Linked DNA regions of Sus scrofa. The protein of the gene in region 7 purifies or fractionates together with the protein of the main gene of each other region. This does not show direct contact. Links are inferred from orthologs where the notes say so. Each region holds a gene or a part of one and is shown on either strand. Other genes may lie near its edges.

What was found.
Region 1: the proteins of SQSTM1 (region 7) and RPTOR purify together in Homo sapiens (affinity purification with western blotting; 3 studies listed by BioGRID). This does not show direct contact. The link is inferred for Sus scrofa from reciprocal best matches to the Homo sapiens genes SQSTM1 and RPTOR.
Region 2: the proteins of SQSTM1 (region 7) and NIPSNAP2 purify together in Homo sapiens (affinity purification with mass spectrometry; 4 studies listed by BioGRID and IntAct, with this or other methods). This does not show direct contact. The link is inferred for Sus scrofa from reciprocal best matches to the Homo sapiens genes SQSTM1 and NIPSNAP2.
Region 3: the proteins of SQSTM1 (region 7) and SPRED2 purify together in Homo sapiens (affinity purification with western blotting; 3 studies listed by BioGRID). This does not show direct contact. The link is inferred for Sus scrofa from reciprocal best matches to the Homo sapiens genes SQSTM1 and SPRED2.
Region 4: the proteins of SQSTM1 (region 7) and CD44 purify together in Homo sapiens (affinity purification with mass spectrometry; 3 studies listed by BioGRID and IntAct, counting the BioPlex papers as one, with this or other methods). This does not show direct contact. The link is inferred for Sus scrofa from reciprocal best matches to the Homo sapiens genes SQSTM1 and CD44.
Region 5: the proteins of SQSTM1 (region 7) and VDR purify together in Homo sapiens (affinity purification with western blotting; 3 studies listed by BioGRID and IntAct, with this or other methods). This does not show direct contact. The link is inferred for Sus scrofa from reciprocal best matches to the Homo sapiens genes SQSTM1 and VDR.
Region 6: the proteins of SQSTM1 (region 7) and VANGL2 purify together in Homo sapiens (affinity purification with western blotting; 3 studies listed by BioGRID, with this or other methods). This does not show direct contact. The link is inferred for Sus scrofa from reciprocal best matches to the Homo sapiens genes SQSTM1 and VANGL2.

What each region holds. Positions count from the first base shown.
Region 1 is NC_010454.4:1,989,045-1,993,325, forward strand, and holds the start of RPTOR (regulatory-associated protein of mTOR), read right to left. Parts: upstream 2,801-4,281; 5' UTR 1,724-2,800; coding exon 1,562-1,723; intron 1-1,561. UniProt on the Homo sapiens protein: Component of the mechanistic target of rapamycin complex 1 (mTORC1), an evolutionarily conserved central nutrient sensor that stimulates anabolic reactions and macromolecule biosynthesis to promote cellular biomass generation and growth.
Region 2 is NC_010445.4:16,938,968-16,943,065, forward strand, and holds the start of NIPSNAP2 (protein NipSnap homolog 2), read right to left. Parts: upstream 2,801-4,098; 5' UTR 2,691-2,800; coding exon 2,599-2,690; intron 1-2,598. UniProt on the Homo sapiens protein: Protein involved in mitophagy by facilitating recruitment of the autophagy machinery required for clearance of damaged mitochondria.
Region 3 is NC_010445.4:76,642,646-76,646,145, reverse strand, and holds part of SPRED2 (sprouty-related, EVH1 domain-containing protein 2), read right to left. Parts: intron 2,443-3,500; coding exon 2,293-2,442; intron 1-2,292. UniProt on the Homo sapiens protein: Negatively regulates Ras signaling pathways and downstream activation of MAP kinases. Recruits and translocates NF1 to the cell membrane, thereby enabling NF1-dependent hydrolysis of active GTP-bound Ras to inactive GDP-bound Ras.
Region 4 is NC_010444.4:25,881,361-25,885,340, forward strand, and holds the start of CD44 (CD44 antigen), read right to left. Parts: upstream 2,801-3,980; 5' UTR 2,704-2,800; coding exon 2,601-2,703; intron 1-2,600. UniProt on the Homo sapiens protein: Cell-surface receptor that plays a role in cell-cell interactions, cell adhesion and migration, helping them to sense and respond to changes in the tissue microenvironment.
Region 5 is NC_010447.5:78,263,678-78,267,937, reverse strand, and holds the start of VDR (vitamin D3 receptor), read left to right. Parts: upstream 1-1,460; 5' UTR 1,461-1,496; intron 1,497-4,260.
Region 6 is NC_010446.5:90,054,098-90,056,701, forward strand, and holds part of VANGL2 (vang-like protein 2), read right to left. Parts: intron 2,480-2,604; coding exon 2,248-2,479; intron 1,478-2,247; coding exon 1,217-1,477; 3' UTR 1-1,216. UniProt on the Homo sapiens protein: Involved in the control of early morphogenesis and patterning of both axial midline structures and the development of neural plate. Plays a role in the regulation of planar cell polarity, particularly in the orientation of stereociliary bundles in the cochlea.
Region 7 is NC_010444.4:78,753,999-78,757,498, forward strand, and holds part of SQSTM1 (sequestosome-1), read right to left. Parts: intron 1,363-3,500; coding exon 1,148-1,362; intron 870-1,147; coding exon 674-869; intron 1-673. UniProt on the Homo sapiens protein: Molecular adapter required for selective macroautophagy (aggrephagy) by acting as a bridge between polyubiquitinated proteins and autophagosomes.

The DNA.
Region 1 (4,281 bases), on a different chromosome or scaffold from region 7:
ATGGGTGTGGCCCTAAAAAGACAAACAAACAAACAAAAAACATTTTTAAAAAATAAAAAATATATCCATTAAGCAGTTTTGAACAGTTTGACCAAGGGTTTAAGGTAGCCAAGGGAACTACATGTCAAAAGGGAAAAAAAAAAAAAAAAAAAGGAAGGGCCTCCAAACAGGAGAAAAAAGATGACCACAGAATTACGTTGTTTTTTTTTTTTTTTTTTTTGGCCATGCCTGCAGCATGCAGAAGTTCCAGGACTGGGGATCAAACCTATGCCACAGCAGCAACTCGATCCCTCGATCCATAGCAATGACTACCCCAGAACCTCAACCCACTGAGACACCAGAGAACTCCATGCAGTTACTTTTAAAATATATTTTTTGAGATATGCTTTGCAACCATGAAAGCTCTGAACTATCTATTTAGTATGAAACATATCCATAAGACAGACTCTATACATTCTCTTCCAGTGACCAACTCTTTTACTCCTTAGACTGCTTTTGTATCAATCAAATTTTCCTAACCTTTTAAAGAGAAGCCAGGTAATACCTGAAGCACCAGTTACTAGTGACTGACCACCTAGAATGACCATGAGGATAAGCGCATATATGTTCAACATCACCTACTAAAAACAACAATCTTATATAAACATCTTCATAAGCCCAGAGCAACCACATTACATGATAACACCAAATACCTCTCTTATACCAAAATGTTCAAAGAAACAAAGAGTCTTAAAGAAGGAGAAAACGAAACACAAAGAGACAAATTCTAAGCACGTACAGATGAGAGAGTCCCATCCTTCTGCTCTGGAGACCAGGAAAATAGTTCTCCAAATTAAGGTCAGATTTAACAAAATTGTTTCCTTTACTGTAAGCTGCTTGTGAGTTGCTATCCACATCCCAGCACCACGAAGACCCCCTAAAACCTAAACCCCCGTTTCACCCCGTCATACTCCAACTGCACTATTAGAGAAATTCCGTCTCCAAGTAACAGTAACAAGACACCACACAAAAGGAGGACAGTCTGGATTCCAGAAAGCTGTTTAGAAGGCTATGATGGAGTTCACCGTAACTTTGAAATAACTACGCATGAACTTGTTACCACCTGAACATTTGCCAGTAACCTTGTTTCCTAGCATACGATACTGGACTTCTGCACTTGCCCTAGCTTGGACCGAAAAAGTAAATTAGCCACAAAAGTAGACTAACCACGTGGGTACAAATATTATGTCCCAAGCTGTTTTTCCTCTAAGTGTTAACAGTGCCAAGTATATCAAGGGGCATGTGACAATGCTGGGTTTTCTAACATACTTAACTTGGACTGTCTGAATTAGAACTTAGTTTGTACCGAATTAACTCTCCAGGGAATAACTGCGAACCGAAACAGCCTTTTCCACTTACAGCCAAGACCCAGAGTCTGAAATGGTTTGTGCTTTTTGGTTGACTTGAAACACACAGCTGGGAAAAAATACCGCCGCTTTCCCAAGGACACTCCTCTGGCTCTAAACTAACTTCCCTGAAAAAAACTACCAAGGTCCAAGGGGCGCAGGCGCGATCCACTTACCCGATCCTTCATTCTCCAGCTCTGAGCTAAGGACTTGGAGCCTTCAATTTTCTCACAGTGCCTCTTTTTCATAAAAGCCAAAGGCAGGTTCCAGTCTGTAAGGTCGGCCTCATCGTCCTCCCCGAGTCCCAGGAGGGGCGACTGCAGCATCTCGGACTCCATCACTGGGGGAGGGGGTGGGGGAGTCCTGGGCAGCAAGCGCTCGAGAACCTCCAGCCTTGAAAACCAGTGTGTACCAGAATTGGCGAACGAATACACAGAAGAGGGAGGAGTAGAAAATGAAACGGATAGTGAGTGTGCGGAGACCCTCACTCAGGCAAAAAGTCTGCGATCCTTCTCTAACTCTGCGCGGGAAGTCGGAGGCGTGGGAAGAGCGGTGGGAAATGAGGGAACCCAAGGAGCTCCGCACAGACACAGGCGGCCCAGATCCCAAGCCACCGGCTGCTTCCGCGGCTGTCGGTTCCCGGGGGGCTGCGAGCGGAGCTGTCAAAGGCGTGCGAGACTCCAGGCCTCACGATGACCCTGCCCTCGGCCTCCAACGCCTCAGCCGATCCGAGGACAGGCAGGCCGCCCGCTCTTGGTGCCGGGTCGCCGACCGGGCTGAGGTCTCCGGCCGAGGGGAAGAGGTTCAGAGAGCTTCGGGTCTCCTGCAGCCACTCTCAGCCTTGCGGGTCCCGCACTCGCCGGAGCTGCTGCAACCAGAGCCAGGACCGGCCCATCGTGCTCGCCCGCAGCCGGCTCCTCAGCCCCGAGTCCGCGCGGCCTGGCTGGTCCTGGCCTCCGGCCCCGTGGCCCTCTCCTCCCTGAGAACGAGTCCTTAGAAACGGGCGACACGGAGCCGTGGAGAAAAATGCGTAATGTGGGCTTATTGGGTCTCGGGACTTTTGCCCTCTGGTTTGAAGCTACAGTGAAACTCCGCTCATCAGCACATCAAGGAGGACGCCATATTGCCGAGGCCCAGCATGCAGCGCGACTACGGCGTGCCTAACAGGCCAAATGTCCTCAGAGCGTTCCGGCCCGTGCGTCCCAGGAAACTGCGAGAGGGTTCCCCCCCCGTTACTATGGTTACCACGATTCAGTTTGCCAGAGTTTATTGCCATTCGTTCAAGAGATGCGTCATATCGAAGTCAGTCCTATAAATGAAACTCTGTTAATTAATTTTGGAAAAAAAGCTTTTTATTATTACAAATGGACCTACATGCTTCTGAAATTAAAGGAATCGACCCCTTGTTTCTTCCAGATTGTGAAAAAGCTGCAAGGCTTTTGATAATATTACAAAAGAAGATCGTGTTTGGGGTGGGGAGTTGTAGTATCCGCCACAGTAGCGATCAGATTTTATTTTTTTCAGGGGACACTAAGTGAAAAAAAATGTATTTTCTGAGTGGTTTATTCCTTGATATAGTTTCATGTGCAAACAACTAAAAGCTACAGATTTTTCTTTTCTTTTTTGTCTTTTCCAGGGCCGAACCCGCGGCATATGCAGGTTCCCAGGCTAGGGGTCGAATCAGAGCTGTGGCCACTGGCCTACACCACAGCCACAGCAACGTGGGATCCGAGCTGTGTCTGCAACCTACACCACAGCTCACGGCAACACTGGATCCTTAACCCACTGAGCAAGGCCAGGGATCGAACCCGCAACCTCATGGTTCCTAGTCGGATTCGTTAACCACTGAGCCACGACAGGAACTCCAAAAGCTACAGATTTCTATGCATGGCAGCCCTCCTGTGTTACTTTATTGTTCTATTTGGTAAACACTGTCTATTCACCATGTGTGGAGAACTGTGTCCCAAGCAGCATGCAGGCTGCCTTCAGTAAACGTAGTATATAGGGAGACACATGTGCAACCGGTGCATAAAGCTGGTAAGGGCCTGAGAAACTCAACTCCCCTCTTCGTTTCACCCTGAGGTCAGACCACCTGAAGCTGCATCTCGGCTGCATCTCTCCATCTCCGTGACCTTGGTCAGTCCGTTAACGACTCAGTCTCAGCTTCCTCAGCTGTAAAACTGGGTTAAGAATACCCATCTTAGGAGTTCCCCTTGTGGCTCAGCGGGTTAAGAACCCAACCAGTATTCATGAGGATATGGGTCGGATCCCTGGCCTCGCTCAGTGGGTTAAGGATCCGGCATTGCCGTGAGCTGTGGTGTAGGTCACCGATGGGGCTCAGGTCCTGAGGTGCCGTTGCTGTGGCTTTGGCTGTGGCATAGGCCGGCAGCTGCAGCTCTTATTCGACTACCAGCCTGGGAACTCCTATATACCACAAGTGTGGCCCTCAAAAAACAAATAACAACAAAAACAAAAGAAACCCACCCTAAAGGATAAATTAACCTATGTAAGCATCTAGTATGCAGTGAGCACCCAATACAATGCCAGCAGTGATGGGTCTCTCGCTAGAGTGAAATCTAGCAGCCCCATGAGCTTTACTCATCTAAAACTTCAGGCTGGGCTCTAGAAGATACTCTTTTTTTTCAGTGTGGTTTCCTAGGGCTTTGACACCCTATGGCAGTCCATCTCAAAATACTGATGGCAGGAGTTCTCGGGTGGCCCAGCAGTTAAAGACTTGGTGTTGTCCCTGCTGGGGCTGAGGTTCAACCCCCGGCCCAGGAACTTCCTCATGCCACGGGCATGGCCAAAAAAAAAAAATCCTGATGGCATTTGTGTTCCTTTCAACATCCGAGTAAATAGTGCAATCCCAGATTATTCTCACCTAGCATACAGCAGA
Region 2 (4,098 bases), on a different chromosome or scaffold from region 7:
GAATTCCTAGCAAGCTCTCAGTGGCCAGCACCTCGTGTGCCTTATTCACTGACGCTTCCCAACAGCACCTGGCAGGTGGCCGGCACGCTCACCTAGGCAACAAACAGCTCTAGGTAAATGGCACCAGCATCCTCCCCGCTGGCCATTACCTTGATTCTGTCCCCCTTTCAAAGCCAGACTGGTATTTTATTTTTTATGTTTTCCTTTTTAGGGCCACACCTGCAGTGTATGGAAGTTCCTAGGCTAGGGGTCAAATTGGAGCTGCCGCTGTTGGCCTGCGCCACCGCCACGTGGGATCTGAGCCACATCTGTGACCGATGCCACAACTTGCAGCAATGCCAGATCCTTAACCCACTGAGCAAGGCCAGGGATGGAACCTGCAACCTCATGGATACCATGTCAGGTTCTTAACCCACTGAGCCACAACGGGAACTCTCCAGACTGATCTTTTAAAAATGTAGATCAGAGCATGTTACCCTAGGGCTTATACCTTTAAATGTTTTCCAGGGCTCAGAATAAAATGCAAACTCTCTAAATAGCTGTAAGGCCTGGAATTTTCTGGCCCCTGCTCCTTGCCACCTGTCTTGTTTTCCTTTCACTCCTGCCTCCTAGATTTTTCTGGGGTTTCCCAGCATGTCTGACTCCTCCCCTTCAGGGCTTTCATGCCCACTTACCCTTCAGGTCTCAGTATGACATCACCTTGTCCGAGAGGCCTTCCATGACCTCATGTGGGAAGCTCCCTGATTTTGTCCCATGGCACCTACCTCCATCTGTAAGTCTCTATGGGTTTTCATCTCAGCCACGGCTTCCTGGGGAGAGCGACCACAGCTCTTACGCTCAGGTCCAGCGGGCTTCAAAGACACCGTATACACTCAATATGTGATAGAATCAATGAATTGACTGGGTCTAGACTGAGTCCTAAAGTTGAGGCAGTTAAAGGTTAAGGCAGACTAGAGCCCAGGAAGGAGTAGTCAGAAGGTACAGGGGACCTTGGATAGAGACAAGGACCCCAGTGTCGAGAGCATGTGGCCCCAGCAGGAACCTGGGGTATCCCAGGTGACCTTGGGCCCTTTAAGTGAACACCTTCAGGCGCAGCTTTTTTTTTTTCTCTTTCGGGCCGCACCCATGGCACATGGAGGTTTCCAGACTAGGGGTCAAATTAGAGCTACAGCCACTGGCCACAGCCATAGCCACGTCAGATCCAAGCCGCGTTCTGCAACATACACCACAGCTCAGAGCAACGCCACATCCTTAACCCACTGAGCAAGGCTAGGGATCAAACCCGCAACCTCAAGTTTCCTAGTCCGATTCATTTCCACTACACCACAAGGGGAACTCCCTCAGCTGTCTTTTTTGAAAAAAAGGAAATATCAATTTCATGGGCTTCTATCACTTGTGGGGAAAAATAAACAGTAGATACTTAATAACAGAATAAAAATAAAAGAGGGTTGATTTGTTGATCAACTTGGAAACATAAACATCCAATTTTGTAACACAACTTGAGCAGCAGTCCTTACAAGGGCACTGGGCCTGAAGTGTAACCAACTTGGGTTCAAATGCCTTTTCTAGCCACGTGTCTTCAGCAGGTTGAGGTTCCTTCTCATCTCTAAGATGTAGATCCTATTACTTCCTTCTTAAGATTGCTACTAGGATTACACTAAATAAATAAGCTGTTATCATATAAAGCTGGCCCACATTAAGAGTTTTAACAGGTACTTCCTTCCCTTTTCCATTTTTTGAAATGCCAACTGTATTTTCTAGAGGCTCACTATTGAAGATAAACAACAAGATAAAATTCATATAACCTAACGTAAATAAACCGGGAAAGCAAATGGACGTGTAAATTGGTTGATATGGGCTCTGGTTTTTCAACTGGGCAAACAGGACATGGCTGTGTCCGGGATGGACTCAGAAAATCGAATATGTAATCCAATGAGGTTAGGAAAAAAGTTTAAACATGAACCCACCCCCTACTTCGTGCTGATAACTGTACATACTTTTTTGATCCACTACCTACTTTTCAATGCAAGTCAACAACTGTCCGTAAGGCGGACACCTCTTGGCTACTTCCCCAATCTCCACTGAGGGATCGCCGGGGCCGATGTATTATTTTATTTCTTCACAGCAACCTAGGAGGTGAGTGGTAGGTACCTCCACTACCGTTTACAGATGCTGACACTGAGGCTTTGCGCGGGCGAGCAGCTTTCTCAGGACGCCCTGCAGGAACCCCGAGGCCCAAGTTCAAGGCCTGCGGCCTCAGCCACGCGCTGGCCGCTGCCCCACGACTCCGGGTCGCGCAGGGTCAAGGTCCAACAGGCCGGGCCGGCTCCGCGCGCGGACGTGGCTTCGGCGCTGGGTGTCATTCCCGCCATGACCTTGAGCCCCGCCGGCCCGGCAGCAGGCGCTCCGACCCTGCCGAGGCTCCGGCTCGCCCCGCCACGCGGACCGCGGCCTCAGCCCAGCCGCCCCACAGCCCCGGCGGCCCTGCCCCATGGGAACGCTACCGAGCCAGGGCGGAGACCCGCGCCGAGGACCCCGCGCCCTCCGCCCCGCGGCGGCCCCTCCCCGGCCGCTCCCGGAAAGGGCGGCGCTGCTCACCGGAGCCCGGGCAGGAGGCTGCAGGGGGCGGCCCGCCACAGGAAGCCGCCGCCTGAGGCCGCTCCGCCGGCGCGCAACACTCGCGCCGCCATCTTGCTCCGGAGCCTCGACTCCCACCGCCCCGGCCTCCGCTGACGCCGCCGCCGCCGCCGCCGCCGCCGCGACCCCTCCCCCGGCCGGGCCCGCCGAGGCGGGGGGCGGGGCGGGGCGGGGCGGGGCAGGGCGTGCGGCCGCTGCAGTGCGGGGCGCGACCGCCAGGGGGAGTGGGGCCCAGGACGCTGCAGCGCGGGGAGCGGCCGCCAGGGGGAGCGGGGGGGGCGCAGAGGTCTGGTCCTCAGTGCGTCCTGGCACTGAGGTCCCGGAGTTGCAAGAAAGGAGCGGGAAGCCTGAGGGCAACCGATTTTGAGACTTCAAGCTCCGACGAAAGGAGCTCGGTGCCCAGCACAGGGGCCACCCAGGGGTCGAGGGCAAGGCTTGAACATACGTGGAGAGATTCACCGGAAGAGAGTAACACAGTTCCTAGGGGAATCCAGGGCCTGGGGGCGAATCTGAGAGGCAGCTTCTTTTTAGATTTTGCACCAAGTACATACATTGCCTTTTCAAAAATAAATTACGCTTTAATAAAAACATTCTCGTTCTGGATGGAAACATACTCAGATACTCTCGTGGTCTCCGGACTCCTTGTTCTGTTGATGTGAGCATGCCGCTGGGTGTGAAATGATCGGAGTGTGTCAAGTGTGAGAATGGAGAGGTTGACAAGACCGGAAGGGAGCCCGGGCTGGAGAGTGCGTCCCCAGGGGTGCCTGGAAAGTGGAAGAAAGACCCTGGGGAGCTGGCACAGCGTCCTGGTCCCAAGGAAAGAGCAGACAGGTGGAGGGAGGGAGAACTCCGGCCGCCCAAGGAAACAGCTTAAACAAAGGCGTGGGTTGAAGTTCCCGTCGTGGCTTGTTGGTTAATGAACCCGACTAGTATCTATGAGGATGCAGGTTCCATCCCTGGCCTTGCTCAGTGGGTTAAGGATCTGGCGTTCCGTGAGCTGCAGTGTAGGTCGCAAGTGCGGCATCGGATCTGATTTTGCTGTGGCTGTGGCGTACGGCTGCCGCTGCAGCTCCAATTCAACCTCTAGCCTGTTTGGGAGAAATGTATCCTGTGGGGAAATAAAAGAACCACTGATAGAATCATGAAACCGCAGCTAAGAGCTAGACAGAAAATTGAGGAGCAGTTAAGCTCCTATTAGATCCCTAGCCTGGGAACATCCATATGCCATAAGTGCGGTCCTAAAGAGACAAAAAGACCAAAAAAAAAGAAAATGGGGAGAAACAGGGGAGGAGCTTCCCAGCCACCAAAGGGGGCATTTTCATGGCCCAGAAGAAAATGTCCTTAAGACTGGGTAGATTACAGATCTCTAGGAGGGGTGGGGACAGGCACTCAGCTTGTGTGTGGAGGGGTCTCTGGAGTTGGTAATTCTAAAGATGAAGGGAGGAGGAGGGGGCTTCAGGG
Region 3 (3,500 bases), on a different chromosome or scaffold from region 7:
ATTACCCTCTGTCCGGGGAAGTATACACACTGTTAAGAATCAAGGGTGAATTTTCAGAAGCTGGACATGCCCAGATCGAAAAAGCAGAACTGGAGGCCCTCCCTGGGATATCCTCATCTCCCTTCAGTGACCTCTGACCACCTAAGGTGACAGTGACTGCTATCCTGATTTCTAATGGCTTACTTTCACCTGTTTTGAAACAGTGTGCTCTCTTTTGTAAGATTGGCTGTTTTTTTTTTTTTTTTTTCCAGTGAAGCAAAAGAACATTGGAGTGTGTTGCATGTTTTAAGGTATGTTCATTTGTTACCTTTGTGTACATCTGTAACGTGCACTGGGCCACAATACTAAATGCATATCTCACTTTGGGCCATGCTCAAAAAAGCAAAAGTGGACACTAGAAATTATGAGGCTCACAGGGACCTTGTCATCTGGTTGGGAAGGTAAGATGCTGGGATATGCAAAACCTAAGAGTGCAGGCTCCAGAGGCCAACTGCCTGGGTTCAAATCCTGCCAGGATCTATTTGACACATAGCAGCAGAGCTAAGATCTGAGCCCTGGGGGAAGGCCTGATTCAGAGCCACACCTTTTAGCCTTCAGACCAACCTGCGTTTTCCCTTAGGGTCAATCAGTCATCTCTGCAGTCAGGCTGGCTCTGGTGTGCACCAGTGCCTTGTCCAGAGAGACAGGCACTAAATAGTGGATTCAGGTAAGCCTGCCTTGCACCAGGCATCCCAGTTGTGGAAGACAATTGAGAGTTTCCACCTTTGAAGCCCTCTGAGCATAAAGGCTTTTTTTTTTTTTTGTCTTTTTGCCTTTTTTCTAGGGCCGCTTCCATGGCATATGGAGGTTCCCAGGATAGGGGTCAAATCGGAGCAGTAGCTGCCAGCCTATGCCAGAGCCACAGCAACGCGGGATCTGAGCCACATCTGCAACCTACACCACAGCTCACGGCAATGCCGGATCCTTAACCCACTGAGCAAGGCCAGGAACCGAACCTGCAACCTCATGGTTCCTAGTCAGATTCGTTAACCACTGTGCCACAACGGGGACTCCATGAGCATAAAGGCTTTTTAAGGAGTGAGGAGCATAGCTCTGAATAAACCCATTGGAGTGGAAACTTCCTAGCAAATTGCTAAGCCTCAGACTCCATTTCTCTTGACTATCAAACTGAACAGGGCTATTGTGAGAATGAAGAGAAAGAATCTATGCAGTGTCAGCACAGGGCCTGTCACATAGGACACACTTGATACCTGTTGCCAATGTCCTCCTTATAATATTGTCATAGAGTTTATCACATGGTAATTAGGCGTATCCATCACTTTCCACAAAATCGTGAGCTCCTGGAGGGCAGGGGCCATGTCTTGCAGGCGTTGCCCTAATTCCTGCCAAATTCTTGATGTCAGAGTTTCCCTGACTTTGGAAAAATCACAACCCTGCAGTACTTCAAAACAAATCTTGGGAGTTGACATAGACTTTGCTAATGATTTATTTTGCAAAGTAAGGAGAGTCAAAAAGTCAGTTCCCATTTACTGCTACCTTAATGTGATTTTAAAATAGAACATTTTAGTGCCAAAATATTAGGAAGCACACACTTAGATGATTTGGAAAGAAGAGTCATATATATCTATCTTTACGTTAAAAACCCCAGGTGCCTCATGCTTCTTCTCTTTTCAAAGCAGACTGGTGGCCACATCTTACTACCTGGGCCCCAGGCTATGGCCCACAGTTCGGGAACCTCTCTGAAAAACAGCCGCTTGGTAAATATTTGCTGAATTACTGAATTCCAGCTACAGCTCCCCAAGAAAGCCGGGGTCTGCAGCCCAAGATGCCAGGGTGCCTGAGCCAAGGGTACAGTATTCTGTGGTCCTGATCATGGCTTGGCTCTGTGCTTTCACACAAAGCCAGGAGGCCCTTTGGACAGAGAAAGGTACGAGGCAGTGTGGCACCTTGGGTGAGGAGAGACGGGCATTTGAATCTTGTGCCACTAGGGACCCTCCCTAGGCCGCAGCCTCCTCATCTATAAAGTGGGGATGCAGAGGACCAGCTTGCGGGTAACCTGTGTGCATTAAAGGAGATAAAGCATGTGAAGGGTCTGGCAAGGTGTCTGGCACACAGAGCACTCGGAGTAAGGGTGAGTCGCCCCCACCCCTCCGATGAGGGGGTGGGGGTACAAAGCGGGAGAACTGAAGAGGCCTAGGCTCGGGCACGTGGCTGAACGGGAAGGGGAGGAGGCTGTTCCAGAATCTCAAGCCACCCACCCCCTGGCCTCTGAGGCATGAGATGGCTGCTCACCTGTTCGAGGTGATAGTGGTCCGTGGGGTAAGGGTCGTGGAGGTGGCCCAGGGTATAAATCCTCCGGTGCTCACAGGATGTGGGGGAGGAGATCGTCCGCGTAGGTTGTTCCCTCTTCTGAGACGAATTTGAAGAACTGTCTGTAGCTGTCTGTGTAGAATGAGGTACCCATGAGTTAATTAAAAAAAAAAAAAAACAAAAAACGAAAACAAAACCCAAAACCAAACCCACACAAAAATTCTAACACACCGTCTACTCTGACCTGTGGTGTCTTGCTGGACTTCCCGACATCCTGAGTTTATCTTGGCCTGAAGGGCCAGGTCGTCTAAACACGGCGGGCAGAGAAACCAGCCACCAGACCCTGGAAAGCTGGGTTTGTTTTCTCAAATGTGGGAGCAGGCCTGGCTCTGGGGAGGGGCTCACCGCTCCAGGCCCCCTGCTGGCGCACTCCCGTTTGATCAAGAATGGTACCCGTTTGTGGCCCAGGCTGTGGGGTCCTCGGGTAAGCAGAGAAGATGCATGCAAGCAAATATCAAACCCAAGTGTTTCTTTGTGGGGCTCCCTCCAGCCTGGGAAAGTCTGAGATAAGGATGTCTCGCAGGGGCATTCTGGGTACTGACTTTCCAGGAAGAAATTTTACAATCCTCTCCAGATGTCTTGCACTCAGGGATGAAGGCCACCATCTCTGAGGGTGAGTGCAGAGCAGTTTTCCCAGGAGAGTTCAGAATGGAGCCTCCAGGACAGTCTCTTTGGAAGGTGGTCAGATATCAGGATGGATTATGGCCTTCCAGTATACCCACCACCTAGGTGCTTCGTGCTCCCAGCCTGTGCCGCCCTCCACAACCCTATGGCCCAGCAGCCACATGCTCATAAAAGGCTTTGCCAAGTACAACTGGCACCTGCCTTAAAAGACCAGGGGCCCCTCGGAACCCCCATTCCATTTTCCACATCCTTAGAATGATGGACCCTTCTCTCTTTTTCTTTTTTGCTCTGCCTGTGGTGTGCCAAAGTTCCTGAACCAGTGATCAAACTTGTGCCACAGCAGTGACAATGCTGGATCCTTAACCCACTGAGCCACCAGGGAACTCCTCCCATCTTTCTTTTATCCACAAATAAATAAAAAGGTTTTCCTTAATATCTAGATGTCCTCTTTCTAGTAAGTATCTAGGAACTTCTGGTAAAAAACCTAGCTGCTTCTCACTTTTACA
Region 4 (3,980 bases), about 53 Mb from region 7:
GTAAGATGTCCGTTGTGTGTCTATTTGGGGAACATCTGAAGTAATTGATGCTAACTAACCTCAGCACTGATGGAGTTTTGCTTCCTTGCTTCTTTGCCTGGGACAACACAGCCAAAGTCCAACTCCTGGAAGAGGGGGTCTCTAAAGCTCAGAGGGATCAGCAGGCTGCCTGCCACCCCCAAACCCCACTACTGTCAGATGCACCCCTCTTTCTAAACACCAGGAGTGAAATTCCTTAGCAATGACCTCTCACCCACAGAGGAGAGGAGAAGGAGAGGGACGAGGGCTCCCCCCAATGCCCGCCACCCAGGGCTACTTTATTCCTCCCACTGTGACACCCAGTTCAAGAGATCTATTCTCCAGCTTAAAGAGTCTGGGTCCAATGCTGCTTGAGTGCATTCGGCCACATCGCCACTTCTTGCTCTCCAGTAGGGAGATGGGAGCTTTCTTCCTTCCCGAAGCCTCGCCCCTTCCCACAGTTTCCTCACTGTCCTCCAGAGCCCACTGCCTCCACTAGCAGCGGGGCAACAGCAGAACCTCCCCGCCTCCTCTTTCTCCTTCCCTTCTCTGCCTGCCCAGCCCAAGCCTGCTGTTAAGTCACGTCTCCTTTCCAAGTCTCAGTTCCTTTCAAACAACTTTACAAGCACATGAAAGCCTGGGCCCCAGCAGTTATTGCTACAGGCACTTTTGGGCGCTTCCTCCAAATGATGCTGCCCAAAGGGACCACAAAAACTCCGGGCAGGAGAGCCTGCTGGTCTGGGGAGGAACTTCAAGGGTCAAGACAGTGCTGAATATTGGGGGATGGGGCCCTTAAGAAGAATCAGGGCTACAGGATGGAGGGAGTCAGGAGTCAGAATTCTCAGAAACAAAGCAGAAGATGACACAGGAACATAATGTACAAATAAACTTCCTTAGAGGTCACAGAGACACCAACCTGGTTCCTCTTCACTGAGACCAGGCTCAGGGCTCCCCCTGGAATCTTCCCCTCTTCTCTCCCCGCCCCAGCATTTCTGCCTTTCCACGGCTCCTTGGAGGTCTAGTTCCTTGCCTTTGAAAGCCTCCTCTAAGGGCTCTGGTCCACCACGACCCCACCTTCCATAAAATCTTTTCTGAGAGTCTGTCTATGCCACACACCCAGCCTAACATATTCTGATTAAGCAATAGGCTCAGGGGTCTGGTTCACACGACCACCCATCCTTCTGGCTGTGTGAACATCAGCAAGTCACTTAACCTCTCTGAGCTTCACTGTGTTTCCCTCCTGTAAAAAAAAAAAAAAAAAAAAAAAAAAGGCTAACAACACCACACTGGGCCATCACAAGGGTGAAATGAGATAACCCAAGTCAAGAATTCAGCACAGTGCCTGGCACAGCAAAAGTGCATAAGAAATAGTAGCTAGTGCAGTCATCCCTATTAATATTAATTATTATGATCGGTGATTACTTTTGTTCTGTTTGAGGAATCTACATCTTAGATCCCCACATGTCCTTCTAATGCACCCAACTAGGATTGTGTCTTTTACTTTCTTGGTACTCCCAGGGTTGTGTTTAATAAACACTTGCTGAGTGGAATTAACCATAGGTTGAGCTGTTCTAATGACCCAGCTGGCACTTCTTAAAAGAAAAATAATTAATTTTTCTAGCGATAACCAAATCAGCCATGTAATTATCTGTACCTCTATAGACAAAAGAAAGGAATGCTTGGAGTTCAGCCTCACCAATACATCACACACAGCCTCTCCCCCCAACAGCCACTGAAGGGCATGGAGCCTATTGGGATGGGATATTGGCAGCCCCAGATCCAGGATTCCTGATGCCACCCTGGTGCCCAGGTTCCCCCATCCTGCCTAGAGGCTGCCAGGCAGGGAATACGAGCCACATCGCTGCTGGCTGGATTTCCCCTAACTGATCGGCAGAAGCAGGAGGTTGCCAGGACCTAGCAGCTGGCCCAGTCAGTGCCTCTCCTATTCACACTCCCTGACCCAGGCTGGCACCTCGTGGAGACCCAGAACCTTGCCACAGTGCTGGTTCAGGTTCCCACAGTGTTAAGATCCTTAGTGACTGGAGCCAACTGTAAGAGCCTTGGAACCCAGGACCCCTTTCTAGAAAGCTCATGGCCACCAGCCCTCACACATAGCCACTGTGCCCACCTCTATGGCCACCTCGCCAACAGCCCTGCCTCTGCCCTAGCCCCTGTCCCTGCCCTGCCCAGCTCTGCCCGGCCACAGCCCAGCCGGGCTTCCAGCGCCCTTGGGCACCAGAGCCTGTTAGTCCAGACGCGCGGGCTGTGCGCGCCCAGGAATACAGTTACTTTCTGCCTTGTGCTTCTAGGGCTCCAACAACCTCACCCAAAACTGCGCGCCACCGCCGGCAGCCTGCCCAGCAAACTTTTCTTCGTTCTTTCTCTTTTCAACAAAACGGTGCTTTCCACCAACAGGCTCTCCACCAGCTTAGCGCAAATCCGTGCCCGGCTCTCCTTCCCCAAATCCCAGCCGCTCGCCGCCCACTTGACTCAGGTGCCCCAGGGCCAACTCAACCCGCGCGACTGCCGGCGGGTCCCGGCCACTCCTGTCACTCCCTCCCACCGCCTCGGCAGGCACTCACCGATCTGCGCCAGGCTCAGCTGCACGAGGCAGAGTCCCCAAGCTGCGCGCCACCAAAAGGTGTCCATGGCGTCGGAACGACGGAGAGAGTGAGCGGGTGACATGGAAGGGCCGGGGCGCTGGGCGGGGGCCGGCAGAGCACTGGACGAGCAGGGCGCCAGAACCTGTCCGAGGCTGGGGTCCGGCTGGCAGTGAGGGCGCCTGGGAAGTTGGGTGCAGTTTTTATTCGAGGGTTGAGTGAGTGACCTAAGAGGGAGGGAGCGAGCGGAGGACACACCCAAGCGAGGGGGCTGTGACTAAGCAGCCGGCAGAAGTTTAAAGACGTACCGGCTCTCCTTGGCGCTGGCCTCGCTGCCCCCGCCCCCTTCTCCACGGAGATGGTAACACCGGGTGCCAAAGCGGGTGCCCCGGGGGGCCGCGGGGTTCCATCGTACCGGGAGGCACCGGCTTTCCGCTCCAGAGGCGACTGGGAGCCCAGCCTTTGGACGCAGCAGGGAATGACTGAGTCGTAAAACTTCAGCCCTTTGGGATCAGCCTCTGGCTTCTCCTCTTTACTGTTTCTCTTTGCATCTGGCTGGGGAGCTCTTCTCCCTGGGTTTTCAGAGGCAGCTGGATATTCTGGGAGAAGAGCTGGGACAGAGCCAGGTCCTGCCCTGGAGAGTGGTGCTTCCCTGCCCATGATGGGGAGCTTGTGATTCTTCCCAGGGAAGAGAGGAAGTGCACATTCTTCTTCCCTCGAAGGAGAAGGAAGTTCACAGCCTCAGGTGGATTTTTGATTCTTATCAGGACCACTCAGAGAAGGCTAATGATAACCAGCCACTGACCCACCTGTTATCATCCAGCCTCAGGCTGGCACCTGGAACCATCCACCCATTCATCCACGCACTCACTCACACACTCATTCATCCTCCCAAGTATCCTTCCATCCACTGATTCATCTCTCTACCCATCTTACCTTACCTCCCTCCAGGGCTCGTGCATCTGTCCATCCAGTAGACACTCACAGCCATCCATCCTTCTTTCCATGCATTTATCTAACCACATATCCTTCCAACCACCCTCTCATCCAGCTTCTCATCCAGCTGTCCTTAATCTTTTCATATTTCTTTGTTTTTTTTTTTTGTTTTTTTTTTTTTTTTTTTTTGTCTTTTTGCTATTTCTTGAGCCACTCCCGCGGCATATGGAGGTTCCCAGGCTAGGGGTCCAATCAGAGCTGTAGCCACCGGCCTACACCACAGCCACAGCAACGCAGGATCTGAGCCGCGTCTGCGACCTACACCACAGCTCACGGCAACGCCGGATCGTTAACCCACTGAGCAAGGGCAGGGACCGAACCTGCAACCTTATGGTTCCTAGTCGGATTCTTTAACCACTGCACCAC
Region 5 (4,260 bases), on a different chromosome or scaffold from region 7:
CAGGGCCTCCAAAGGGACACCACCTTTCATCTGTTTCTCGGAATAAACTGTCCATCCCAAGTTCAATCAAACACTCCTCTATTTTTTTGTTTTATCTTTCCAGAAACTGTCCATGATACTCCCTTAATGAACTATTCCAGTGGTTAACAAACTTCCCTGTTTGCAAGGGGTTTTGTTTGTTTTTGTTTTTTCTGTTACGTCCCAGTCAATTTCTCTTGATCCAGTTATTGAAAGTTTGAGAGAGGCTGGCTATCCTACAGTTTCACATAACTTTCAGAAATGGGTACAAGGCTATTGCAGCAGCATGCTTGCTGAGCTCTAGTACTGCCCTTCATCCAATAGCTGTGTGATGCGCAAAAAACTTAACCTCTCTGTACCTCAGTTTCCCACCCGCTCAGCCTGTCCCTCTGAGCCATGGTTTCATCCTTTGGAGAAGGTGAATGGCAACATCTTCCCTGCCTAAAAGGGGTCATCAACTGCTGGATGACTTGGTGGGCATCTCTGTTATGGGACATTTCACTGTAATTACTATTTATTTCTGCACTCTCCCACTGGACAGTGAGCTCTAAGGAGGAAGCTGTCTTTTTTCCGCGACCTCTAGCATCTAGAGCGGTGCCTAGCTCATAAGCCAAGGAAACGGAGATTTTAGCCAAGATTTTCTATGGAGAATTTTTGGCACCCACCTACAAGTCCAGGTCTCAGGATGCACTCCCTTCTCTTCACACCAGTGTCAGATGGGGTGGGTGGCTGAAGCTGGGGACTAGGGACCAGGGACGCTGAGACTAAGCTTTTTTGGACGAGGTTTTCGAAGGGGCCGAGAACGTGGTCAGACTCAGTCGCGCCCGAGGGGACAGAGAAGGGATGATGATACATCGCTGTACTCCACTTCGGCCCCGTTTTCGTTCGCTATTTTATCCTAGCGTGTGGGATCGGGCTCAGCTCCCTGACGCTTAGCCGGAGTCACACGACGGTGGGCGGCGCCCGGGAGTCCCCAAGAGCACGGAGAGCGCCGCGGATGCTGGCTGCGCGCGCCCCCCAGAGCCCCGCAAACCGCGGAGAAGTCCTGGCGGGGTCAGCCCAGGTGGGGGCGACGCGCCTGAAGAGGCGTCCGAGGAAACATGGCGGCGGAGGGAGAGGGGAGGCCTCACGGATCGTCGCAGGCAGAATCGTGGCTCTGCACACACATAACCATCGAAAGCTCTCACGCACGAAGGGCAGAGCTTCCTTGCTCTATGGACGGCCGTCGTGGAGGACTACACTGGGCAGCCTCAGGCGACAGTGCAGTGGTTGAGTCCAAGTCAAGATGGTTGCAGCCTGTTTGGAGCTCTCGGAAAGCGAGAACCGGACCTGTGGGCGGGGCCCAGAGGTGGGGCGGGGCCTGGGGCGGGGCCTTGCGAGGGCGGGGCCAGGTGCCGGGCTGTCTCTGCTTGTCAAAAGGCAGCCGCCGAGCCCTAGGCGCCGGGAGCGCGGAGCAGCGTGCCCATCCGCCGGACCAGGTGCGGACGTGGGAGCGGCGGGAAGGGGGGCGGGGGGTCCCCCAGGATCAGGATAGGCCGGAGGTGGAGGTGTCGGGGGTACTGGCCTGAGTGCCCAGGTGCAAGCGCTGGAGTCTGGGCAAACTTGGCGACCGAGATTTTGCCCTGAGGCTGGAGCACCGAGGGGACACTGAGGTCTGAGAAAGAGCCTAAGTTCGTGCCAGGTTGGCGAGGGGAGCAGCGACCCCCTCAGTGCTCAGCCGGCCGATCGCAGAAATGCTCCTCCAGCACAGTGCTCAGCACTTGGGCAACAAGAAGCATTTGTTTCCTTCTTCTGTCGGGCGCCTTGGCATGGACTGGAGGAATAAGAAAGGGAGAGATTGCCTCTCAAACAGTACTGAGGTCTTCTGGGGGTGGAGTGTGGTTAGCTTTGTTATCTTGTAGAACCCAGGTATGGTCCTCTGCGATGGTGGAGCCAGATCTTTTAAGGAGAGTTGGTTTTTCTCTTCTTTTCTTGACTTTTTTTTTTTTTCTTAACCAATTATTTTAGACCTGGTTGACCCTAGTGCACTGGACTTGTTTTTTTCGGAGGAGCTTGTCCATTGATGTTCAGAGGAAATCAGATACAAGCATCTAATTGAGGAGGGGGCTCAGGGAGTAGTTCTGTTTGGGGAGTGACGGCCCCCACATCTGTGTGTGGTAGGCGAGGAGGATTTCAGGGAAGTGTCTAGGAGCGAACATCATATGGTATCTGAGAAGCAGTGGACACTGCGCTCTCCCCCCATGGACCGCTGAGGCTGAGACACAGGCTGCCTGGGCTGGGAGAGCCCTGGGTCTCTGAGCCCAGGCCCTTCCCGCATCTCCTCCTCCTCCTTCTCCTCCTTCTCCTCCTCCTCTTCCTCCTTCTCTGTGCGGTGAGTGAGTCAGCCTCCTGTCTGGGCTCAGTTGCAGCCAGAGGGGCCAGAGCCCAGGCAAGCAGTTGGGCAGGCATTTTCTGAGCATTGCAAAAGCTCTCCTGGGCAGAGTTCAGCTCTGCCCCAGCTCTCTGCTGGAAGTCTGGCTTCCTCATGGCCGATGGTTACCATTTCTGAAGGGGACACCCAACACAGGGATGATTATGGGATGGCTGCAATATGACTCCAGAACGGGTTGACTGGGAAGGGATTGTGGCTTTGTGGTAAATCCACATCTCTTATTCTCCTAGGATCAGGAGGTGCATCCCAGCATGGCAGACGTTTCTAGCCCCTCATTCCCTTTCTGCCTAGCGATCTTGTGAGCCGCCCATCTCTGTTAGGGAGCTGGGTGTGCACAAGAAATCAGGAAAGATTCTGGGATGAGGGAAGCCATGGTGTTGGCAAAAGTTTTAAGTCAGGCCAGGAAGTGGGGGTGGTTTGCTGAGGTGGAAATGGTTTATCTGGACACTAGAGCCTCCATTCTATAAACCAAGAGTGTCGGGGAACTTTTCTCATCTCTTCCCTGTCCTTGTGCTGGAGGATCCTTCTGGAATGGTGTCAGGGTTGCATGCAGCCAGACCCGGAGGTTTTTAAGACTGCGGATTTCTCTCTGGCTTTTGTTTTGGGTACTTCAGATCCTTGAGTAGAAGTAGGGGCCTCAGAGCTCCCGTCCCCCCTACTCAGTGGCCTCTGTGGACCCATTTGAGATGAATCCACCACCGGCTATGGGGCTGACTCAAACTACAAAAAAGCTGGGGAATTCACAATCTGTGCTCTGGCTTGGCCCCTCATCAGCCACGACTTGGACCCCTTCCAGGGTAATGGATAAGAAGGGAAGGAAAGTGAAAAAGGATAAGAAAAGAGGAGAGTGGGACGAGGCAGGAGGGAAAGAATAGGAAGCTTTCCTGAGCCCTCGCAGCTCTTCAGTCAAGACCATCAGACTTGACTTGTATAAATACTGTGAAAGGCCTGATGCTGTTTGACGGGCCCTGGTTCCTTGTGTTTACGGTTTCTCAGTCTTCCTTCCTTATTCAACCTCAGAATTGATCTCCTTTGGGGACTGAGTCCCAGAGGAAGCACCAAGAGGACCTCTTGCACCCCAACCTTCCACTCCCAGAACAAATAGCCAGGGTCCAAAGCCGATGTCTTCCACATTTGGAGGAAAGCCTGGGGTCTGGTGGGCCAGACCAAGTGGTTATCCAAGACCGGAGGAGGACTTGCCGTTGCTCATTTCTTTACCTTACACCCTGGGGAGGCAGCAGCCATCCTGCCGGAAAACCAGAGTTTGCTAGAAACCTGCCAGTGCTTATGTCCAGCAGGTGGGTTCTGTGACCGAAGAGCCAGAGTCAGGAGCCCCTGGAAGTCCAAGCTGGCAGGCGATGCAGTGTGTCGCTGGGCAGGATGAGTTATAGGGTTCCAGCTTAACCCTGCCCAAGTCTGTCTTGGATGCAAGTCAAGAGAAGTGAGGAAATGACAAGATTTGCTGAAAAGCCTGCTCTAGCCTGGTAGTAGACCCTCCGAGGGATGACAGGGAGCAGGGACCCACCAGCCAGACAGGGCCTCCTCCCTCTAGATGGTCTGAGCCAGGGCCGGGCCGTAGCTAGCGGCTCCCTCCACTACTGTCCATTCTCAGGGGATCCAGCTGGGTGAAAGCCAGCCCAGCTGTTGCTCTGAACCACTCAGGTCTTGCTTCTAGTTACGCTTTTCTCTGATGCTCCACGGACCCTCTCTTGTGTCAGTGCCCTCTTGGATGTGCTAGAGAGAGTGACTATATGATTTATTGCCCACACTAAGAGGCTTTCAAGAGTGAAAGGGGTGTGATTAATAGTTAT
Region 6 (2,604 bases), on a different chromosome or scaffold from region 7:
GGAGACCAGAGCCCAGAAAACCAGGCAGGGAGGGAATGGGAATTGGGGGTGGGGTGGGGGAGGACCCTGGCCGGCCAAGGAAAAGAGACCCCTGAGGCAAAGAAGTGGACTTAAGGCAGGGGATGAGGAGAAGCTGCTGGCTTCCCCCCAAACAAGAGATGAGGCTACAGGTCTCCGGAGCTGAGAGAGGAGACAGCAGGACATCGGGTGGTTGGTGAGAGAAAGAAGAACGTTTGTCTGAGGCCGCCAGCGTGGGCTGCGGTCTGCAAGCCACTAATTCTGTCCAGGAGTCTCCGTGGCATCCTTCACAGGGAAGGGGGAGGAGACTCATCCCACCACGCAGGCGCAGAGGGTAGGGGTCAGGGACGTCCGTGGGGCTCTCTCGTGCCCGTCCGCCAGGGACCGCCTAGGAAAGACCAATGAGAAGAAAGGTACTGCGCCCCAGGGCCTAGGAAAAGGGGTCACAGAGGGTTTCCGTCTCAGTTTGCCCGTGGTCACACGTGACCACACAAAGTCGAAGTGGAAGGCGGAGACTTCAGGGTAAAGGATGGGATCTTCCCTTTGCTCTGAGTGTGTGGATGGGGGGAGAGGCTCCAGCAGCTAGAAGCAAATATTCCTGGAGGGAGACCCCTGACTCTGGGGCCGTGTGGGAGCATCCTGGCCCGAGGACGCCCGGTCGGCTGCAGGTGGGTGAGTGGGCAGAAGATCCACCTGTCACCTGGAGGGTGCGGGCAGCGCTGCCCGGGGGGAGTTTGGCATCTCGGCCCTCTCGAGTCAGGTCAGCACCCCCACCACCCCGAGGAACCCTTTTAGGGGCCACTGGAGAGAACTGCTAGGAGAACCTGGGTTCAAGAGAGTCGGGCTCGAGTGGGCCCTGTGCCCTTTCAGAAGAGACGGTCGCCCAGAGAAAGGAGAGAGAGAGAGGCACTGATTTCTGCAGGGCCTGGCGAGATACAAAAGTGAGGAGGATGGGAGCAAAGAGAGGGACTTCCCGGGGACGGCTGACAGCAGAATGGTCTCTCCAGGTTCACACGGGGTCAACAAGGAAGAGGGGAGCAGACAGGTGGGGGGGCCAGTTCATTCAAGTAAAAAAAAACACTAGCGCAAGAGGAAGAAGGGTGGCAGCGGGAAGGTGGTAGCGCCTGAGAGCCGGGCCCCCACCACCACCCTCAGGAGCCCCCCCTCCGTGTCTCCCACTCCCCCTGCTGTTGCACAGTCACACTGAAGTCTCCGACTGCAGCCTCATGACAAACTTGTGCGACTTGGGATCCACAAATTCCTCGGAGAGTTTGAAGAACGGGACCTTCTTGGTGCTGACCACCAGGCTGAAGTCCTGGCGTTTCAAGAGGAAAACGATGCCGTCCTTGAGCCCGTTGGTCACCGGCTCCTCGCTCACCAGTGTCCACTGCTTGGCCAGCCAGCGTTCCTTGTGGTACTGGATGGTGGGTCCGGCCGCCAGGTACCGCTCCAGGAAGGCCTGAGGAAGGGAGAGGGGACGTCACAGGAAGCTCTCCCGTGCACCTACCATCCTTTACCCCCTGGCAGTACAGCTTCCAAAGACCACCAAGATGTCCCCAAGCCCACCCTCTGCATCCGGTCTCAGAGGGTGAGAGTGGGAAAGGGAGCACCTGCCTCAGACCCATTTCATAAAGGCGGGAGCGGAGCCCCCAGCAAGATCAGGACTGGGGCTTGGCTCTCCGGACCCCTCAGCCTCTGCTCTTCCCTGGCACCTGCCACGGCCCGGGCAAGCCCTCCCTCATCCACCCTCCCTCTTCCTTCTGCTCATATGGGCAGTGCCCAGCAGGTCTGCACCAGCTGAAAGCTGTCACAGTTGAACTGCAACTTCTTTCGTCACCTGTTCCCTACAGGTGGCTCAGAGGTTGGGATCCTAGGAAGCTGCCCGTGGAGCTGAAGGGCAGGAGTGGCTCAAAAAGAGTACAGAGCAGAGAGCATCTGCGGAGGTGAGGGAGGTAAAGTGGGACATTGGATCTGAAAATCCCAGAACGTCTACAGGTTGAGAAAGAGGTCTCGGCCATTCTCAAAATGGTCTCCCAACTCCTTCCTCTCCTTACACCTAAGGTGGGGTGGATGGAATACGGATGAAAGGAGAGACTATAAGGAGGTAGAGATGAGAGAGAGCAGGATGGAGGGGAAGGAAGGAAGGGAGAGAAGACAGGAGAAGGATGTGGAGAGGAAGGGGCCAGAACTGGGGGCAGACGAAGGCTGCCAGGGGCAGAGCCGGCCCACCTTGGGCGTCATGTCGTGCGTGATGCAGAACTCAAGGTGCTGCAGGATGCTTTCCATGGTGTGGTACGGCTGCTGCTTGGTGGTGCGAAGGTACTTCTGCATGGCACGGGCCATGGAGGCGAAGATGGCCTGGGCTGCCTCCCGGGGGTCCATCACCTCCCTGGGGTTCTTCTGCTCCTCTTCCTGCAGCCGCTTAATGTGAGTGAAGGCCTCCTCCACCGCCACCACAAGCCTGGGGGACACGAGGGGTGTGGGCCAGATGCCCACCTCTCACCTTCCCCTGCAGCTTCACCTTCCAGCAGCCTGGTGAGGTCAGGCCTTTGTGCTGAAGCAGTACACACCTGGCCGGAGCCAAGA
Region 7 (3,500 bases):
TCTAATTTTCCCAGGTTGACTTTTTTCCAATCATTATAAAAATGAAAAAATCATTCTTGGTTCATAGGTCATAGTTTGCCACTCTGCGCCCAAAGGCAGAGAAGGTAGCTCCTAGTAGCCCAAGGGCTAAATTTTGGCCCAGATGGGTTTCCCCTTGAATACTGTTTTAAACATTACTGTCATGTGACAGTAATGAGCCACGGCAGGATGTCTGTCACCTCTTCAGTGTGTGTTCTCCAGGCTGCCATACTCTGCAGCCAGCCCCGCTGCCTTCCACATCACCCACTTCTCACAGTGACTTCCTGCCTGGCTCCTGGCAGAACCGTGGCTGTGACCCCTGCTCTCAGGGTGGCACTTTCTGTGGGGAAACGATGACGATGGACTAAGTCCACCTTCAGTAGTGTGTGGCAGTGGCAGTACCAGAGCCAGTGCCACCTCTGTAGCACATCTGCCTTCATAATTCCAGGCCTGGGCGTTAAGTTTAAGGAATTACTAAAATGAGCTGAGCTCACTAGGGCTCAGTGTAGACACAGGGAAGAAAACCACCCCCTACTTTTCTCTCATGTCAACAGACAGGCCCCACAGTAGAGAACATGACATCTTTCTGTGTTGCTAAAAGCAGAATATTGTCAACAGAAAAGGCAGAAATACAAAACTGCTTGAGATCACTTGCCTGGTGGCAGATGTGGGTACAATGCCGCTTCCTTCAGCCCTGTGGGTCCTTCCTGGGAAGGGTTCAGAGAGCTTGGCCCTTCAGATTCAGGCATCTGTAGAGACTGGAGTTCACCTGTAGACGGGTCCACCTCTTTGGAAGATAAATGGGTCCAGTCATCGTCTCCTCCTGAACAGTTGTCAGACTCCATCTGTTCCTGGAACAAACCCCGCCTTGTGAACACACAAGAACAAGAGGCCCACCTGACTACAGCCTCGATTCCTGGGACAGGTGGGGCATGGAGGACCAGCAAGAGGCTATAGGAATATGTTTTCTTTAGAGTTCTCGTGGAGGGTTCACAGAATGACTTGGATAACACCAACTTGACTCTGCAACAGAAATGGGGCCCACTAGCCGTGAGTGCTGGGGAGGGGCTGTGCTTAGGGTGCTGGGAGACACTGGCAGCCTCAGGGGATGGGGCGGGAGGATGCTTGCCTCAGGCTGCACCCCCGACTCCAGGGCGATCTTATTCATTTGCTCCACCAGACACTGGGCCGTGCCCTCCACCTCCCCGTCCGGCTTGCTAGGGTCGGAAGAGCAGCTGCTCGGCTGAGAGCTGCACTTGTCCTCTGTGCTGGAGCTGCCTGGGGAGGTGGGTGTCAGGCGGCTTCTCTTCCCTCCATGTTCCACGTCAATATCGACTTCGATGCCTAGGAGCCAGGGAGAAAACAAAAACTTGATTGATCCCAGCTAACATCCTGGGTCAGCTTCAGAGCCAGAAAGTCCATAAAGGGCCTTTGTCTTGCCCCTCACTGTGCAGGACAGCGGCTGCACGGCAGGCAGGGCCTGGCCCAAGGAACAGGGTGAGAGCCAAATACCACGTGTGGCCAGAACCACCCCCGCTACGGCGCCGAGGACACAGAAAGCACCGCACTTGTGTTCAGGGAAAAGCATGCAGAGTGAACGCTCAAATTCTGCTTATGAGGCAGGCAGACAGGCCGTGCGAGCTCTGTGAGGCCCACGAGGCTGGAAGCACAGGGCACCCGGCCACCTCCAGGCTCTCCAGCTCTGGGGTAGTGCTCACTGAGGAGCAGGGAGAGCACAATCACCGGAGCTATGTTTGTAATTAAGCAATTTTAATTTGTTACGGGACTACATGCCCACAGCTTAGAATCAAGTAATTCCAAAAGGCTATAGAAGATTCCCAACCCCCTGCCACACAGCCCGGCCTGCTCTCCGGAGACAGCTTGCAACCAACCCTCAGTGCTCCTTCCTTCTTTCTTGACGGTTTACAGTTCATTTCTTGCCCTGGAAGAGTAACACTTACCTCCCCTTCTTTCAAAAATTCCAGTTTTGGTGCAGACAACCTTCAGTGTTTCCATTAGCGCTGCGATATAAACATCATCTTGGCTGGGCCAAGTAGTGGACTTACTTCCTTGCAGAGTGTCTCTGTTTCTGCAGCATGACTGCTGCCCTGTTTCATGTGCTAACTTTCCCCATTTTCTCCCATAGCTTCTCGATCATGTTCTCTGCATGGGTTCAGTGTGTTGGATGCTCCACAGGTGGTTTTCTTTCCTGGAGATCAGCCCTCTTGGGCACAGAGCCTGCAGCTCCAGCCTGGAATGGGCAGAGGCACAGCTCCTACGCCTTTCCTTCCATTCCTGACAACTTTTTCTGCTTTCATACTTGGATCATGTCAGATGAGACTACTGCCTTCTGGCTCCCAGGGCTGTGCTCTTGAATCCCCAAGCTTTTCCAGCAACCCGGAGTATTTCAGGAAGCTCTCTTTCTCTCAAGGGTTCTGACATGTGATGACAACAAGCTCTGATGTGGGGTCTTTTCAGTCATTGTTCAAGGCACTTGGGGTCCCTTTCAATCCAGAGATTATAGTTTCCTTCGTGCCAAGAGACCATCTTATACTCTGTTAATCTCCTCCATTCTGTTTACTCTGTTTTCGTTCTGGAATCCCTTCATACTACACTGGGCCTCCAGGATTAACCCTCAAATTACCCCATCTTTTCTCTCCTTCTGCCTCTGTTTTGCTTCTAGAATATTTCCTTGAGATGATCTTAAAACCTAAGGTTTCTTTTGAAGTTTTCTTCTTTTTTTTTCCTAATTCCAAGAACATTCTTCTTCGGCTCCCTTTTGTTAGCATTGGCAGGGTATCCTAGTTGTCATGGATGCAGCTACTTTTCTGTACCTGAGGATGCTAACATTCTCTTCTCTATTGCATCCGTTCTCGAGTTCCTTCTTTCCCATGTGTGGAAGTTTTCCCAAATGGTTGATGATCCATGGCTGTCTGATCCTAACGAGGCACTAGGAAGCCGCACTCTGGGGGGCCAGGGCCGTCATGAGCTTCCATCTTCAGGGTGCCGGGGAGCAGGGCCAGGCACTGGGGTCCTGGGTCGCAGAGAGAGTCCCTGATGCATTTAGCGTCTCCTGAGCAGGGACTCCCTGGCTCCTGCCAGACTCCCTCTCATTCATGATGCCCAACCGCAGGCTGGTGCCTCACCCTGTCCTGCATCCCCAGGGGCCCCACCCCCGAAGCTTCCCTTTGTCAAGTGCGCCAGCAATTAAACACCAGGTCTCCCTGGAGCATGGGCAAGGGCCAGCACCTGGCGGAGTGGGACCCTGAGGTCTCCGTCCCCTTGTTCCCTGGCCTTCCCTGGTCCCTGCACAGCCAATCTTGCTCCTCACTGGCATCCCTCAGTTGCTCACTGCCCTCCATCCATTTCTCAACTTCCAGGAGTTTTGTGACATTGTTTTATCTTACTCTTCATTACTTTTTTCCCTTTTTCTCTATCCATGTTGCTTTGTACTTGTTTTGTTTAATCCCCCTATTATTTTT